2 linked regions of the Saccharomyces cerevisiae S288C genome follow. The protein of the gene in region 1 interacts with the protein of each later gene in a biochemical or structural test. Each region holds a gene or a part of one and is shown on either strand. Other genes may lie near its edges.

Evidence for each region.
Region 2: the proteins of NEJ1 (region 1) and POL4 form a complex in vitro, tested with the Saccharomyces cerevisiae proteins (one study listed by BioGRID).

Annotation. Positions count from the first base shown.
Region 1 is NC_001144.5:673,434-678,196, forward strand, and holds NEJ1 (Nej1p), read right to left. Parts: upstream 2,023-4,763; coding exon 994-2,022; downstream 1-993. Other genes in the region: YLR264C-A (uncharacterized protein), read right to left, coding at 395-511; PDR8 (Pdr8p), read right to left, coding at 2,186-4,291. UniProt on the Saccharomyces cerevisiae protein: Involved in non-homologous end joining (NHEJ). Facilitates the transport of LIF1 into the nucleus, where it can interact with DNA ligase DNL4 to repair double-strand breaks (DSB). Mediates mating-type regulation of NHEJ.
Region 2 is NC_001135.5:135,549-147,395, forward strand, and holds POL4 (DNA-directed DNA polymerase IV), read right to left. Parts: upstream 5,386-11,847; coding exon 3,637-5,385; downstream 1-3,636. Other genes in the region: putative ATP-dependent permease ADP1, read right to left, coding at 1-1,325; PGK1 (phosphoglycerate kinase), read left to right, coding at 2,198-3,448; CTO1 (Cto1p), read right to left, coding at 5,669-6,622; RNA-binding ribosome assembly factor RBP95, read left to right, coding at 8,086-8,958; CWH43 (Cwh43p), read right to left, coding at 9,225-11,847. UniProt on the Saccharomyces cerevisiae protein: Repair polymerase. Involved in gap-filling in DNA nonhomologous end joining (NHEJ) required for double-strand break repair. Seems to conduct DNA synthesis in a stepwise distributive fashion rather than in a processive fashion as for other DNA polymerases.

The sequences.
Region 1 (4,763 bases):
GTTCGAATGATTATTTTAATTGAGTTTAGTGATGAAATCGATTGCAAATAATATAAACGTTGGTAAGCTCATCTAAACAATCGAAAGGAGGGATAGAAGACAGTAGGTGTTTGTGCTTTGGTCGGTTTTTCCATTCGGTGAATTCATACATCTCCTTTATTAATTTTAATGGATTCTTTACAAGGGATTTTCGGTTGCCAAAAACAGAGAACAAATGCGTAGAAATACTCAATGATGTCAATTTTTCAAAAAATGAATTAAATGATTGAAGTCACTTAATTTTTGTGGTTTTTTGGAGGTGGGTTGAGTGTACAACTCACTATAATTGATGAGATATTCGACGAACTTGTTACTTTTTTGGATTCCAGAATGTTTACTGAATTTTAAGAATTAATTAATTTGAGGCTAACCTGTATGGCATGGAATAACGAATCGACAAGAAGTCTCTTACTGTAACTTTCTTTTTTTTTGGTGCATCTATCGTTAAATACAATTTAAATATTACATTCATGTACTTACTCAATATAATAATCTGATTACTTCATACAATAGAAGAGAAAGAAACAGTCTCTAAAACTGCTGTCATAACGCGTGGTGTTGTGGTTTTGCTTAATTTTTTTAGACCCATGCACCAGATATTGATCCAATTTTTTTTTGTGGCTCTTTTGCCAATCGCTCTTATTAAGTAAGTTTACATCCGCGGTTATGTTTTGCGTCTAAATTTCATTTACAGTGATGGCGAGCTTGCGCGGCTATTTTTTATGCAGTTTATCATTTAGACACTCAGAAGCTGCAGTGATGTAAGATACTGCTTGAAACTACCGTTAGATTAATAATAAACAATTAGAACTGTCCTAATACATATAAACTTATATGCTCCCTATCAATGGCATAACGTTACCATTCAATAAATTAACATTATCAATGCGTCAACAAAGGAATAGAACTATTTGAAAGGTCCAACCTTAATTTTTGACGTTTAATTGACTTGCCTTAGTTTTTTATTCTCACCTTTCCAAATTTTCTTTTTTTCTGTGGGTATTCTTCGACCAAAGAAGAACTTGATTTTGTTTTTTCTGGTGTAGCCTCAGATTCAGAAAAATTCTCCAGGCGAAGTTGCGAACTGGTACTACTTTCTCTAGATTTTGGCTTGAAATCTGTCTTTGGTTTAATTTTACCGCGGCTATTTGGTCGAGCCTCATTTGTAGGGTCTGCTTGCAATTCAAAATCATCATTATAAAAATGATTCACCGCAGGAAATCTGACGCGCTCTTTTTTGTTAAGTTCTCCAGATTCTTCAAACCGCGACACATCTTGAAATTTGTTTCTTAAAGATAATAATGTTTTTAATGAGTCCGCCAGAAATTCTTGATGCTGGAATTTTCCTTTATGTAGTAATTTTTTGATTATGTCATCGTCTGTGCATTGCTGCAGAGATTCATAATTCTTAGAATTTTCAGGAGCCCATTGACTGATAACTTTACTCCCACCGTCTAAATCACGAAGAGAAATTAAAAGAAAATCTAAGCATTTTTGCTTTTCATTCAAAATATCCCGTTGTACATAGTGGTATTGGGTGGAAAGGTTTACCAATTTTAATAAAAGCATGCATAAACTTTGCAAAATCATATAGAACATATCCTTAGTAACATGTGAAGGTACGCTATTTATGGAAACTGTAATATCCGCAGATACATCGAAACTAAAAACCAAATTTGAATCTACCAATCCAATTTGGTTAATTTCTTGAGGAGCTTGTAGAATGTCCATTAGTTTTAGTTTAATTAGATTTAATGATATACTATCCGTAAAACCTTGGCTCTGGCATTGCTGTGATAATTGAGTTTGTGAAAGTTTGAAAACGTAGGGAACTAAGCGCTCCAAGGAAACTAAAACAATCATTACAATTGTGGTTGGAGATGACATCGGTAGAAATAATAGGAGACAATTTCCCTCACCATTAATTTTTTTAACACACCATTCTGCATCACTTAGCTGCTGCCCTTTCAACTCAGAATCCATCACACATGTGTAAGATTAACCTCCTATCTGGCCGTTGTTATGGTTATTCTCCATAGGGTTTCCACTTATATGACACTATTTTGTGTTTGCCCGCTGCCAACACTATCATCCCTTTTTGGGACGAAAAAATCCATGTAAAAAAATACATCAATCATAAATACATTTATAAATCGAAATGATATTGTTTATAAAATTTCTTTTTGTCAATGGACCAAAGGTCTTTGGAAATCTCTTTGAACGTTTTCCAAACATCATTAATAAAATCTTCAATCATGAGATCACTGAAGTGCTCCATATTAATGCCCTTTTTCAGCCAAATTTTTTCAGTCTCTATTCTTGCTTGGGACGCTTTATCGAATAAAACCCTACTTACGCGTTCAAACGCCAAAGTTGAAGTTAACTGATAAAAATTGGAAACTGCTTTTAACAATCGCTTATTTCTTTCATTAACAGCAAATATGCTATCAATAATTTCGTAAAATCTTATTATTGTTCCTGAAAATGACAGAAATTTATCAGTCCTAACATCGAATCCTGTCAAAAGTTCATCAAAGTTTTCTTCTTCATATTTAATGAATTGTATTTTTTTCCCAGTGTCAAGGTCAATAAGGAAAAGGAATGCCTTCTCCCTGAAGATTAACCTATTAAATGCTAAACTGTACACTTGCGATACTATTCGTATTAAAAGTGGATTGATTAGAATAATAGACAGTTTTAGCCCTTCAGTTAACACGTTCTCCTGGTCGTTGATAGGCTCTTTAAAATGAAATACCATTGTATTAACACAGACTGATATGGATATCAACAAGAACTGAACCATTCTGTTCTTATCTATGATTCTGCTTTGTTGAGCGATGATCATCTCAATATTGTATATACTAGCAACTATACTTAGAGATCTTGATAAAATCAATATATCAAAGGGATCAATATCAGAGTAGTAAACTGAATTTGTATAATGTTCGATAGGTGAAAAGTTAGATTGTATAAATTCAATCAATCTCAATGAAAAAGTGGTCAATTTTTCGTTCATCTCTCTCTTGTGAATTTCACGAGTAGTGAATCGGGAAACATCTAAAAAATCGTGCATTAGCTTAACTCTCCTAAAGTCAATACTCGGTGATTGGAAATTCTGCGCAGTAAATATACTTAAGTCCAAAAGATCATCTGAAATAGACGGAGGATTACCTATATCATATGAGGTGGATACATCAAGGAATAAAGCCCAAAACCAAATACACCTCAAGTTTTGTTTGGTTTCCTCACTTTCGTTCAAATACCATTTATCAATATCATTTAAACCCAAACTTATGCACCCCTGGCATAGCTCGTTGATTAAGTCAACGCCTTGAGTCGCATCCCATACACCGTCCGTGCAATTTATCATTACACTAATATAGGACAATAAGAAAAATTGTAGTTTTTCCACGAAATTTGAGCTCGATGATGACAAGGACGCTGCACTTAAAGTGTGAAGGAAATGACTCACGGAAGAAGGGATATCTTGGTTATAATAGCCCAAGCAAAGAATTTGAAGTACAATGCCAAGATTATACTTATCTTTTGCATTACCTTGCAAATCGAGGAGGATGACTAGGTTCTTGTCCGTGGTATCTCTAATAAAAAGTCTGTCCAAGAGGGACAGAATATCGTCTTGGTTGAAGATATGCAATATGCCGAACAGCGGTCCAGCAAAAAAAGATTTAATACAGCTTTCCATTTGAGGAAAACTAGGCAAATCTGCTACAACATCATTTTCATTTAATTGCGATTTAGTGCATTCAGGAAGTGGTTTCAAGACTTTCCATAAATTTTGAAACTCAGTTTGAAACTTATTTTGTTCAAACAAAGATAAAGTTTTCCAGGAAGTGGGGCCAAACACATACCTCGAGCCATTATCACCTAAAACCGAAGTTCTCAGTGACCGTAATGGATTTTCTGAACTCCTGCAATACACCGGTTTCGCATTATTGTTATCGTTTTCCTTCAGTAGAGTCTGCAAATTCTCAATCTTCTGAACCAACGCTACATTGGGCACTTGCTCGAACAGTTCCGTATTAGACAAGGGATAGTTGAACTCTTCTGTGTAAACGCATTGCGGTAGTTTTCTAATTACACATTGCTGACACATAGGCCTGGCCTGACTGCATTTCAGTTTTCTTTTTCTACAAAATGCACATGACTTGATGACCTTCCTCCTCTTGCCCTTCTTACCACTTGAAACGGGCTCTCCGGTAGTAGATTTCATAGGAAAATGGGATCCATCCATCCCAACAAACTAAGTGCCGTTTGCCTCTTTCTTATTCGTCCCGTACCAACCACGTGTTTTCCACCTGTCATGGGCTTTTCAAGAGTTTGTCAACGCGGAAAGGCGCCGCATTGCACCTTGTCGTGATGTATTCTAAGTACAAGTAGTAAAGAAGTAATGACCCTGTTGTTATTGCTCCACTGCTGACCGCTGTTAATGCCTCTTCATGATTTCTGAGTCATTGTTGTACCCTCTGGCGAATAAGCCACTGTTGGTTTTGTGTGCATGTTGGAAAGGCGTTGCAACGGACTGTAACTCCACACACGAAAGAACCCTTAATTTTCAGCCGCTCGTTATTTTATTCAGTTGATCATTTCTTGTATAAATAGATTTAAGCAAATTTAAAGTTGATGATTCTATCTTCACAGCTAGAGCTCTACGTGAAATTTGTGCAATATATAGGCTGTGATTTCGAAAGTTATATATTCTCCGG
Region 2 (11,847 bases), on another chromosome or scaffold:
GTTTTCCGTTTCATTGCTAGGATATCTAATAAAGTAGTTTTACCCGCACCAGATCCACCCATGATAGCTAATATTTGGCCGGGCTTCACGATACCACTTATTTCATTCAGCACAGTTTCTTCAACACCATCTGAATTTATCGAGGGGACACTATAAGTGATATTTTCAAAACTTAATGTCGCCAGTGTGTCATCTTCATTTTGTAAGAAATTATTCACCGCATCTTCATCTGGCAAACGAATGGGAGACTTTGAGGAACCCAATCCATTTCTGAATAACGGAGATTTAGAAATGTAAAAGGTAGCAAATGTAAAAAGTGCCAGGACCATCACAGCAGTCAATGCCAACACCAATTTCCCTTGCCATGACACTGTTGGATCTTTTGAAGGAGATTTGTAACCTGGAATCTCACTATAATGAACACATTCACCGGATTCACACTTCAAAGTAATATAAGGGTCACCAAACACGGTCAATATCAAATCATTCATAGAAGGCTCACTGAATTTACATTGCCTTGTTTCTAAATCACAGCTGAAATCTCCTGGCCCTTTTATTGTCTCTGTCAGGAAATCCGAGATATCTATAGACCCCTTAGCACCACACAACACAGTGTCGGGAACGCATTTGCATTGAACGTCATTACACTTATAATGGGAGGTATTCTGTTCCAAGTCGTATTCAAAGGCACAATCACTTAAGCCACAATAGAAGCTTTCTAACTGATCTATCCAAAACTGAAAATTACATTCTTGATTAGGTTTATCACAGGCAAATGTAATTTGTGGTATTTTGCCGTTCAAAATCTGTAGAATTTTCTCATTGGTCACATTACAACCTGAAAATACTTTATCTACAATCATACCATTCTTATAACATGTCCCCTTAATACTAGGATCAGGCATGAACGCATCACAGACAAAATCTTCTTGACAAACGTCACAATTGATCCCTCCCCATCCGTTATCACAATGACAGGTGTCATTTTGTGCTCTTATGGGACGATCCTTATTACCGCTTTCATCCGGTGATAGACCGCCACAGAGGGGCAGAGAGCAATCATCACCTGCAAACCCTTCTATACACTCACATCTACCAGTGTACGAATTGCATTCAGAAAACTGTTTGCATTCAAAAATAGGTAGCATACAATTAAAACATGGCGGGCATGTATCATTGCCCTTATCTTGTGCAGTTAGACGCGAATTTTTCGAAGAAGTACCTTCAAAGAATGGGGTCTTATCTTGTTTTGCAAGTACCACTGAGCAGGATAATAATAGAAATGATAATATACTATAGTAGAGATAACGTCGATGACTTCCCATACTGTAATTGCTTTTAGTTGTGTATTTTTAGTGTGCAAGTTTCTGTAAATCGATTAATTTTTTTTTCTTTCCTCTTTTTATTAACCTTAATTTTTATTTTAGATTCCTGACTTCAACTCAAGACGCACAGATATTATAACATCTGCATAATAGGCATTTGCAAGAATTACTCGTGAGTAAGGAAAGAGTGAGGAACTATCGCATACCTGCATTTAAAGATGCCGATTTGGGCGCGAATCCTTTATTTTGGCTTCACCCTCATACTATTATCAGGGCCAGAAAAAGGAAGTGTTTCCCTCCTTCTTGAATTGATGTTACCCTCATAAAGCACGTGGCCTCTTATCGAGAAAGAAATTACCGTCGCTCGTGATTTGTTTGCAAAAAGAACAAAACTGAAAAAACCCAGACACGCTCGACTTCCTGTCTTCCTATTGATTGCAGCTTCCAATTTCGTCACACAACAAGGTCCTAGCGACGGCTCACAGGTTTTGTAACAAGCAATCGAAGGTTCTGGAATGGCGGGAAAGGGTTTAGTACCACATGCTATGATGCCCACTGTGATCTCCAGAGCAAAGTTCGTTCGATCGTACTGTTACTCTCTCTCTTTCAAACAGAATTGTCCGAATCGTGTGACAACAACAGCCTGTTCTCACACACTCTTTTCTTCTAACCAAGGGGGTGGTTTAGTTTAGTAGAACCTCGTGAAACTTACATTTACATATATATAAACTTGCATAAATTGGTCAATGCAAGAAATACATATTTGGTCTTTTCTAATTCGTAGTTTTTCAAGTTCTTAGATGCTTTCTTTTTCTCTTTTTTACAGATCATCAAGGAAGTAATTATCTACTTTTTACAACAAATATAAAACAATGTCTTTATCTTCAAAGTTGTCTGTCCAAGATTTGGACTTGAAGGACAAGCGTGTCTTCATCAGAGTTGACTTCAACGTCCCATTGGACGGTAAGAAGATCACTTCTAACCAAAGAATTGTTGCTGCTTTGCCAACCATCAAGTACGTTTTGGAACACCACCCAAGATACGTTGTCTTGGCTTCTCACTTGGGTAGACCAAACGGTGAAAGAAACGAAAAATACTCTTTGGCTCCAGTTGCTAAGGAATTGCAATCATTGTTGGGTAAGGATGTCACCTTCTTGAACGACTGTGTCGGTCCAGAAGTTGAAGCCGCTGTCAAGGCTTCTGCCCCAGGTTCCGTTATTTTGTTGGAAAACTTGCGTTACCACATCGAAGAAGAAGGTTCCAGAAAGGTCGATGGTCAAAAGGTCAAGGCTTCCAAGGAAGATGTTCAAAAGTTCAGACACGAATTGAGCTCTTTGGCTGATGTTTACATCAACGATGCCTTCGGTACCGCTCACAGAGCTCACTCTTCTATGGTCGGTTTCGACTTGCCACAACGTGCTGCCGGTTTCTTGTTGGAAAAGGAATTGAAGTACTTCGGTAAGGCTTTGGAGAACCCAACCAGACCATTCTTGGCCATCTTAGGTGGTGCCAAGGTTGCTGACAAGATTCAATTGATTGACAACTTGTTGGACAAGGTCGACTCTATCATCATTGGTGGTGGTATGGCTTTCACCTTCAAGAAGGTTTTGGAAAACACTGAAATCGGTGACTCCATCTTCGACAAGGCTGGTGCTGAAATCGTTCCAAAGTTGATGGAAAAGGCCAAGGCCAAGGGTGTCGAAGTCGTCTTGCCAGTCGACTTCATCATTGCTGATGCTTTCTCTGCTGATGCCAACACCAAGACTGTCACTGACAAGGAAGGTATTCCAGCTGGCTGGCAAGGGTTGGACAATGGTCCAGAATCTAGAAAGTTGTTTGCTGCTACTGTTGCAAAGGCTAAGACCATTGTCTGGAACGGTCCACCAGGTGTTTTCGAATTCGAAAAGTTCGCTGCTGGTACTAAGGCTTTGTTAGACGAAGTTGTCAAGAGCTCTGCTGCTGGTAACACCGTCATCATTGGTGGTGGTGACACTGCCACTGTCGCTAAGAAGTACGGTGTCACTGACAAGATCTCCCATGTCTCTACTGGTGGTGGTGCTTCTTTGGAATTATTGGAAGGTAAGGAATTGCCAGGTGTTGCTTTCTTATCCGAAAAGAAATAAATTGAATTGAATTGAAATCGATAGATCAATTTTTTTCTTTTCTCTTTCCCCATCCTTTACGCTAAAATAATAGTTTATTTTATTTTTTGAATATTTTTTATTTATATACGTATATATAGACTATTATTTATCTTTTAATGATTATTAAGATTTTTATTAAAAAAAAATTCGCTCCTCTTTTAATGCCTTTATGCAGTTTTTTTTTCCCATTCGATATTTCTATGTTCGGGTTCAGCGTATTTTAAGTTTAATAACTCGAAAATTCTGCGTTCGTTAAAGCTTTCGAGAAGGATATTATTTCGAAATAAACCGTGTTGTGTAAGCTTGAAGCCTTTTTGCGCTGCCAATATTCTTATCCATCTATTGTACTCTTTAGATCCAGTATAGTGTATTCTTCCTGCTCCAAGCTCATCCCACTTGCAACAAAAAAAGTCTAATCTTCTGCAATAATTTCCATCCTTGGCATTCAGAGACATATATTGGTCAATCGGTTTTAATTTTGTTTCTTCTTCTTCTTCTTCTTCAATTAACAATGTGCCTTCATCATTTTTCATTTCTTTCAGTTCTTCTAATTCTCTTGGAGACAATTTGACTCCCATGAAAAATTTCTTGATTATCTCAGAAGAATACCACCTCTTTCTTTCTCCATACCCAACAATCTTCGCTGTACGAAATCTCTCCACTATTCTTTTTAAGAATAGCTTTTCCAAGTTTGGCGTTAGCTGTAAAAAACAATGGATATAGCCATCCTTGTACAACTTAATACAAAGCGTTTCCATGATTTTTGCCAACTCGGTCGTGTCATTACAAAACGGCTTGAAAAATAAAAGATCAATGTCACCACACTTGGAATAGCCCCTATTATAACTTCCCTGTAATTCGACTTGGCATTCAGGATCAATGCCACGCAGCGCTTTTTGAACCTTCTTTAAATGTGTGAAACATTCATTCCGAGACATCTTGCATAACCAATCGTCGTAATATGACCAACCAAATAAAATTGTCCAATCTGATACAAACTCCTCTGGGTCCTTCTTAGCTGCAACACAAAAGCTTTCAAAATTTAGAAGATTCCAGCGTTTAGCAATTTCCGACCCAATGCCGTAACAATTTTTGAAGTATTTCAACTTGTCTTCTAATCCCACTGAATCATTTAAACCTGGTAAAACTCCCGTATCTAATATAACTTGTATTTTTTTGGCAATACTAGGCCCGATATTCCTTAATTTAGTATGTGCTTCTTCACCGGAACGAACATTGAAATCGCAATTTTCCATCGACTGTTTAGCCAGTCTATAACTTCTTGCACGAAATTTCTCACCTTCGATCTCATATTTTTTTGTTAACCTTTTCAACGCTCCGATAATCAATTCATTGTTTTTGTACTTCGTTTTGTCAGTAACAAGGGAAGCTCTTCCTTTATCCCCCTGTAAGAGTCGCTTAAGAGGTTTTGAAGCTTGTATCATATCTTTATTGTTGCTGTCATCATTCCTTTCACTTTCTACGTCAGTTGAAATCTCACTCTCTTTATCAGTAGAACTTTGTCCGTCATCAGCGTTATCTGATATAACGATAATGGATGGTTGAAATTTAATCAAATCATCTTTTTGAAACGCAAATTTATCATTCTGGACCCACTTTGTGATGCAACTGGTTTTCACACATTGAATGCCTGACTGTTCAATCTTACCAAGAAATTCATCGACATCATTTAAGCCTGCTTCCCTTTGGAAAATATCTTTCTGAGTCAAATGCATATCAGAATCAACAAAGGAGTCCTCAATCAAAATGACCACTTCCTTACGGCTAGATTGAAGACAATTTTGAATACTTGACACAATTGTGGCGCCCTTTTTCTCCAATATACTCTTAAAGAACTTATTGGAAGATGTGTTAGGATTAGGTAAAAAGGCGAAAAATTTACCCTTTAGAGACATGTGCGATTTGTCTAACAGGTCGCATGTTTATCCTTTACTTATTATCACTGTGACATATAAGTTCTTTGCAAGCCCTTAAAATTATTAGCCCCATGTATTTGAACATCTCAAAGTAATTTTAGACCGAGACCGATTACGGAGATAGAAGAATAGTGCAAGTGAAATACTATTTTATCTTTACTTAAAAAAGAAAAAACAGGAGGAAAATTAGCGGTATTCCATTATTATTAGCACTGCAACGTCCTGGTTATATAAATTTGAATATACAGGATTTCATCCGTTTCTACATTTTTGTTACCTGCATGATCAAATCTTTTAAAGAGTCCCAGGATTTCACAAGGTAGGCACCTTTACCGCCTTCCTTTTCACAAAACTGTAACCACGCTGGACCATTATCAGCTTCAAAACTCGAGATTTTATCCTTTGGGATACCAATAATCTTTTCGGTAATTTTTATGAATTTGGAAGGATTTTCTTGCGGGTTTATTAGCAGTACACCATTAGTAGATGGATGTAATATGGACAACAAGTCAGTCTCACTATCCCCTATATACCAATAGCTGCAAGAATTTCCTTCTTTATTGCAACCTGAGTCGATCTTATCTAATATTTCACCCAGTATCTTGACCTTATCAGAGCCTGTCAATAACCGACAATCAAATTCACCATTGTAGCTTTGAGAACACTTGTCACTAACTTTTTTTAGATCGTTACAAAAAATATGACTATTTTTAAGTCTTCTGTCACCAATGACTTCATGAATAAACTCTTTTGACCAATTTATAGATAAAACGTAAAAATCACTTTCAAAATTTTTGACAACTGAAGAGCAAAACGTTTTGAAACCATCTCTTAGTAAACAATCTTCGTGATTCTGATCTCTGGCGAACGTTTTCATTTGATCCAAAGAAATCGACTTAAAAATCTGTTGTTTTGTAATTTCATTTACACTATTTAACTCAACAACCCTGTTATGATTTTGATATTTTAATTCGTCCGCAAACAACTTATTGAAGTTAGACTGCGAAATTATCGTAGGTACGCCTGAAGATAACAACGGCAGTGATCTCGTTCCATTGTATTTGTATTTATGGTATCCGTCCATATATGTCTTGGTAAAATGACCCCACTCAGGTTTCAACCGCGGGTTCAGTAGATACGGTAATTTAGCAATGGTGCAGATTGTGTCAACTCTTGTGATTGTTTCATCAAAATCTGAAATAATAATGGTTTTCATATCCTCCACTGTTCGCTTCTGGTTACTGCAATTGTTAAATGCATTGGCTCGATTGTCAACATTGCTTTGTGCGAAGAAAGGTCGCTTTTAAAGAAAACGATAAGAACTAACCTCTAACTACATAATAATAAGAAAAAAGTATACAGATAAACAAGCTCAGTAGTAATACATAAAATAAAAAGTTTTGCAAATCGATTGTCCACACACTTCTATATCAATTCCAACTAAGAAAACGAAGGAACCGACTCAAACCGGTGTAAAAGCTAGGCTTTCAATCTCTGCTCCTCCAAACAAAACTAGTGCTTGATATCACATCCAATTAAATTACGTAAATAATTTTAGAGTGACACCATCGTACAAAGAGGGCATTAAGCTTATTTTTTTAATTCTTATGAAAAAAAAAATGTGAAAGAGAGTAGAAAATTTTCATAACGAATCTCTTCTATTCTTATGTACCGTTCCGCCAAATTTTTCATGAAAAAATTTGGGAAAAAGAAAAAAAAAAAAAATAGTATATAAAGTAAAAAAGATGCGCAAGCCCGGAATCGAACCGGGGGCCCAACGATGGCAACGTTGGATTTTACCACTAAACCACTTGCGCTAGTAATCTTGATACATGATTCGAGAAAAGCAACAATATTATGTATACGGAATATACTAGGAGTTCTCTTCAAGGATAGAGGAATCCTCAAAATGGAATCCATATTTCTACATACTAATATTACGATTATCCCTTCTTCTATTTTATATGTTTCATTATCCTATTACATTATCAATCCTTGCACTTCAGCTTCCTCTAACTTCGATGACAGCTTCTCATAACTTATGTCATCATCTTAACACCGTATATGATAATATATTGATAATATAACTATTAGTTGATAGACGATAGTGGATTTCTATTCCAACAAGAACATCCTTGAAAGGTCGACTATTAACATAAGAATAAGAGAGAGTGTGTGGCCGATGCTGTTGCTATAGCTCGGTCGTAGTTTAACACCACGGCATTATTCAGCTTTAAAACAATTGAATTATAAACCTGCTTTTCTTACTACGAAAAGTGTTTCCCTTTAATAAATCTATTGTACATACTTTACAGTTGATAGTACCTTCACCATAAAAATATGCAAACGCTTTTGTTATTGGGAACAGGAATACCAACCGTTCTCATGGAAAATAGCAAAGTGTAAAAGAATTTATTATCATCGAGTGATAAAGAATATCGCCAGATCTTTACGGATATATATCGCTAAAAATATTTGTCGCCAATAAAAGATATGTCTAACGCTCCCTTTGCAGGTAGTTTTTTACTGGCATCGCCTTTTTACTGCAAATTATTGAAAATTTTCGAGCGAGAAAAAGGAACGAAAAGAGATGAGCTAAATTCAAATATCAAAGTACTGTCATAAGTGCTTTCTTTATCGACAAATTACAAGCAGAAGAAACATTCACTTCACAATTAAATGTCCGAAAATCACGTTCCTGCCTGGAAAAGAATTGCTTTGAAGAGACAGACTATAAGCAGTGGTGACGAAAGTAAAGAAAAAGGCCAATCCAATCTAATAGATGATGATCCACTAAATATCACTACGCATTTATCCACTGGTAATTTGACAAAGAAAGAGAAAAAAAGAATCATTAATGGTGAGAGCAAATCCTCTACCAAAAAAGGGAAGCGTGTGTCGAAACCAGGGACGAAGAAGAAGGAAAAATTGTCAAAGGATGAAAAGAATTCGAAAAAAAATAAAATTCTTAAAGATCAATTACGTTACCTGATAGAATTTTTCAGGACAAAGTCTGAGAGCAAGTTTCCCACCGGAATCCTAGAATTGGAAAGTGTAAAAGAAAATTACGGCGACTCCCTGATCAAAGACGAGCCATCAGAGTCTGGTGTTGTTGAAGTTTGGAAATTTTCCAAGCAAAAGCAAAATTGGCTTATTAAGCATTTTTTCAACTTGGACGAAATCCCCTCAGTATATAATGATCTTTTGCTTTTATATTTCAGGGACTTACAAGGTAAATCAAAAGAAGAACTAATATCAAAATGCAAAGGAAAACTGAAGCAATGGAACGACTATGTGGAAGATCAAGAAACAAAAATAAAAGCGTTAATTGCAGAGGATAAGGCTAGCGAACCAATTAATGGTGAAGAAAAAGAAGAAGGTGAAAAAGACGGTAATGCCGAACAAGGGAAGCAAAAAGAGGTACAAGACGAGCAAGAGGAAGTACAAATGCCGAATAAAGAGCTTGTTCAAAGAAGTCTGAAATTACTAGAAATTTGGAAGAATGATGACTCGGAGCAGATAGAACTTAAGAATTTCTTCGTTGATGTTTAACATAGAGTTCAACAACGTTGTTCAGTTGTAGTATATATTTTACTGTGAAATACGCTCAAAAAGTAGCGGGATAAATCGTTTCAGGAAGTATAATTTCTTACAAAACTATAACAAGATCGTCTAAGTAACATACATAAAGAAATCACATAAATTTTTAAAATTCGAGGTCAAAAAAATCAGGTGGATACATAACTTACCTTAAGTTATCAAGATTTTCAGTACACACAATGTGATTACACTGATTTATAAAACCACCTTACGGCCTCTTATAAGTAATAACGTGGCTCATCAAAAACATGGTAGAAGTGACCCCTCTCACCTTCGCCTAAAAACTTATCTGGAAATTTCATGTCCTCATATTCCGGTTCACTCATATGACCGTATTCATACATAGAATCCGAGTGCTCTACTAACGCTTGCTCACTCAAAACTTGGAACTTACCAACTTGTAGCTCCGTATCGGTTATCGTTCCTCTTGCAACTCTAGCATATCCTGTTCTTCTCAAGCCCCTATACAAGATATACTCACACCATCTATCATCGTCAGAAGGATCAATGTCGTGCATTCCGGATGTTTCACTAACGTACGTATTGTAGTTGCCTTCACCTGGATCAACAACTAAGTAACTTAATAAAATAGCTGGGCGAGTCGTATTGCCCATGAGCTTAGCCATGTAGTTACTTTGCAGTCTTCTATCCTCTTCATCCTCTTCTTGTCCACTATGGAATACAAAGACGTCAACGAGAGTGTCATTGTACGTTTGAAGTGTGGCATGAATGGCTGGCGCAAGTTCCCCAACTGGAGAGGGCAATAAATGATGCGTAGAATTTACGATAGGGAATTTAGAAAGAAGAACACAGCCCCAGGTATGTTTATTTGGACCTGGTCCGAAATCTGCATACATATTCAAATCATGAGCTAGTTTGCTAGTTAGATCCCTGTTCCCCATGGTAATTCTTTGTGTATCTGTTTCTAGTAGACCTACCACATCTAGTTCCATATCTTTAATAAGGTTGATCATTCTGTCTTCAGATGCCCACATATCATTATCGAGACCAAAGTGGATAGTCCAAATACCAGCTGTAATCAACTGAGAATCTGGATGATAAGGCTGAGGAATTCCTGTAGGTCTAATATCATACACGAACCTAGCTGTTAGTGATAGCAGGGCCACGGCAAAGAAGAAAACATAAATGAAGAATTTTTTGCCCATAGTCACCAGTTGAATGTTAAGGTTTTTGCATGTTAAAGCACCAATAATGATAAATGTGGAAGAAAAGGCAAGAACCGTCTCAATCTTCTCCCTCAGTACCCAGCCCATTGGAACAAATGCGTATGCAACGACCCAAACATGGGCAAGGACAAAGATAATATAAACGGAGAATGATAGGACATAAACCCATATGTTTTGAACTTGGCCTAATGCAGAAAAATACGAAGGAACTAACCAAAGCATAGCGATAGCGTACAATAAACCACCGAAAATATATTTAGGCCATTGTGTAATGCTTCTAGCTGAAAGTACAGCAGTGGATATGAGAAGCAACAAACATGGAACTAATGGCTTGCCCATAAACTTCACAGAACTCAAAGAAGCAAATAACATGACCGTACAAGTTAAGGCGCCCCAAGGCCATGGCAAGGGACCGTGTGATTCATTGTAACCTTCCCATGCCCAATAAATAGTAGTAGAAGAATCCGTCAATAACTGATGAATTCCGAATAACAACGAGCCAAAACCAACAGCCAAAAATAATTTGCCAATCAACGAAGCAGATTTTGCTTGAGCATTCCTTTTCCCTTCGAAATTAATTGAATTAACATAAGGCGACAGCATGCCGAATAAAACAGTAAGCACGAGAGCTGTCTTATTATACCCACCATTACGTTCATCTAAAATGACCCAAGTTGGATTGTTGGTATAGAACCCCATTTTCAAGATCACAGATGCAACAAGACCTAACAGCCAAGTTAGAGCAAAAGAGAAACTAGTCTCCGCATTTGTGATATATCTTAGATTTTGTACAAACGTTGCAACGGTAATGGAAGTTCCCACAGCTACAGAAATCAACCTTAATTCTGGCATCTGAACAATATAGGCACCAATGGCAATAATACCTCCTAAAAGTACACCATATTGCGTGAAGGCTTCAGAAACGAACGGCAGATATAAGAAAATGGGTCCCAAATAACCCAATATTGCAGCTTCATAACCTGAGATTCCCATATACCATAGCGGGAAATGCCAAATACTACATAACAGGGACGTAACGTTCGACCAGAAAAGAAAACCGTTAAAAATATTTGTTAGTAAGTAAAAAAAAGAGTCAAACCTGAAATATGAACCAGTTGCGCTTCTAGCAACGGGTTTTTCCTTTTCAACCTTCTTTTCACCACTTTTCTGCAATTCTGAACTTTTTTCTTCTCCATAATTTATGGGACTAGAGTCTCTAATTTGGAAAAAACTGGTATTACCGGGTTTCTCATTAAAAGCGAGAACAATATCTATCTTTTTGAAATCAGCGTAAGCAAATGCATCAAATGCAATATCTAAAAGAATCAGAGACCATTCGAAATAAGCATATATAGAATATGCCCCAGCTCTCTGTTGGACGGAGTGCTGAATGTACCAGTAAATCATCGGGAACAATGTTCCAAAAAAAATTGTAGCAGTCAACCCTTTGTTCTTCGAAGTTAAAGGACTAGAATAGCGGGTAATCATTATATCCCATGGTAACGTTAAAACAATGTATGTGATCATAAATATATCATGAATATCGTGGTCATCTGTACTTGTAATGTATACCCAACCACCGCAAGAGACTGTCCGGAGTACACCGACAAGGAAGCATACCTTAGATTGGTTCAAGTAGTAGTGACCTAGTAGC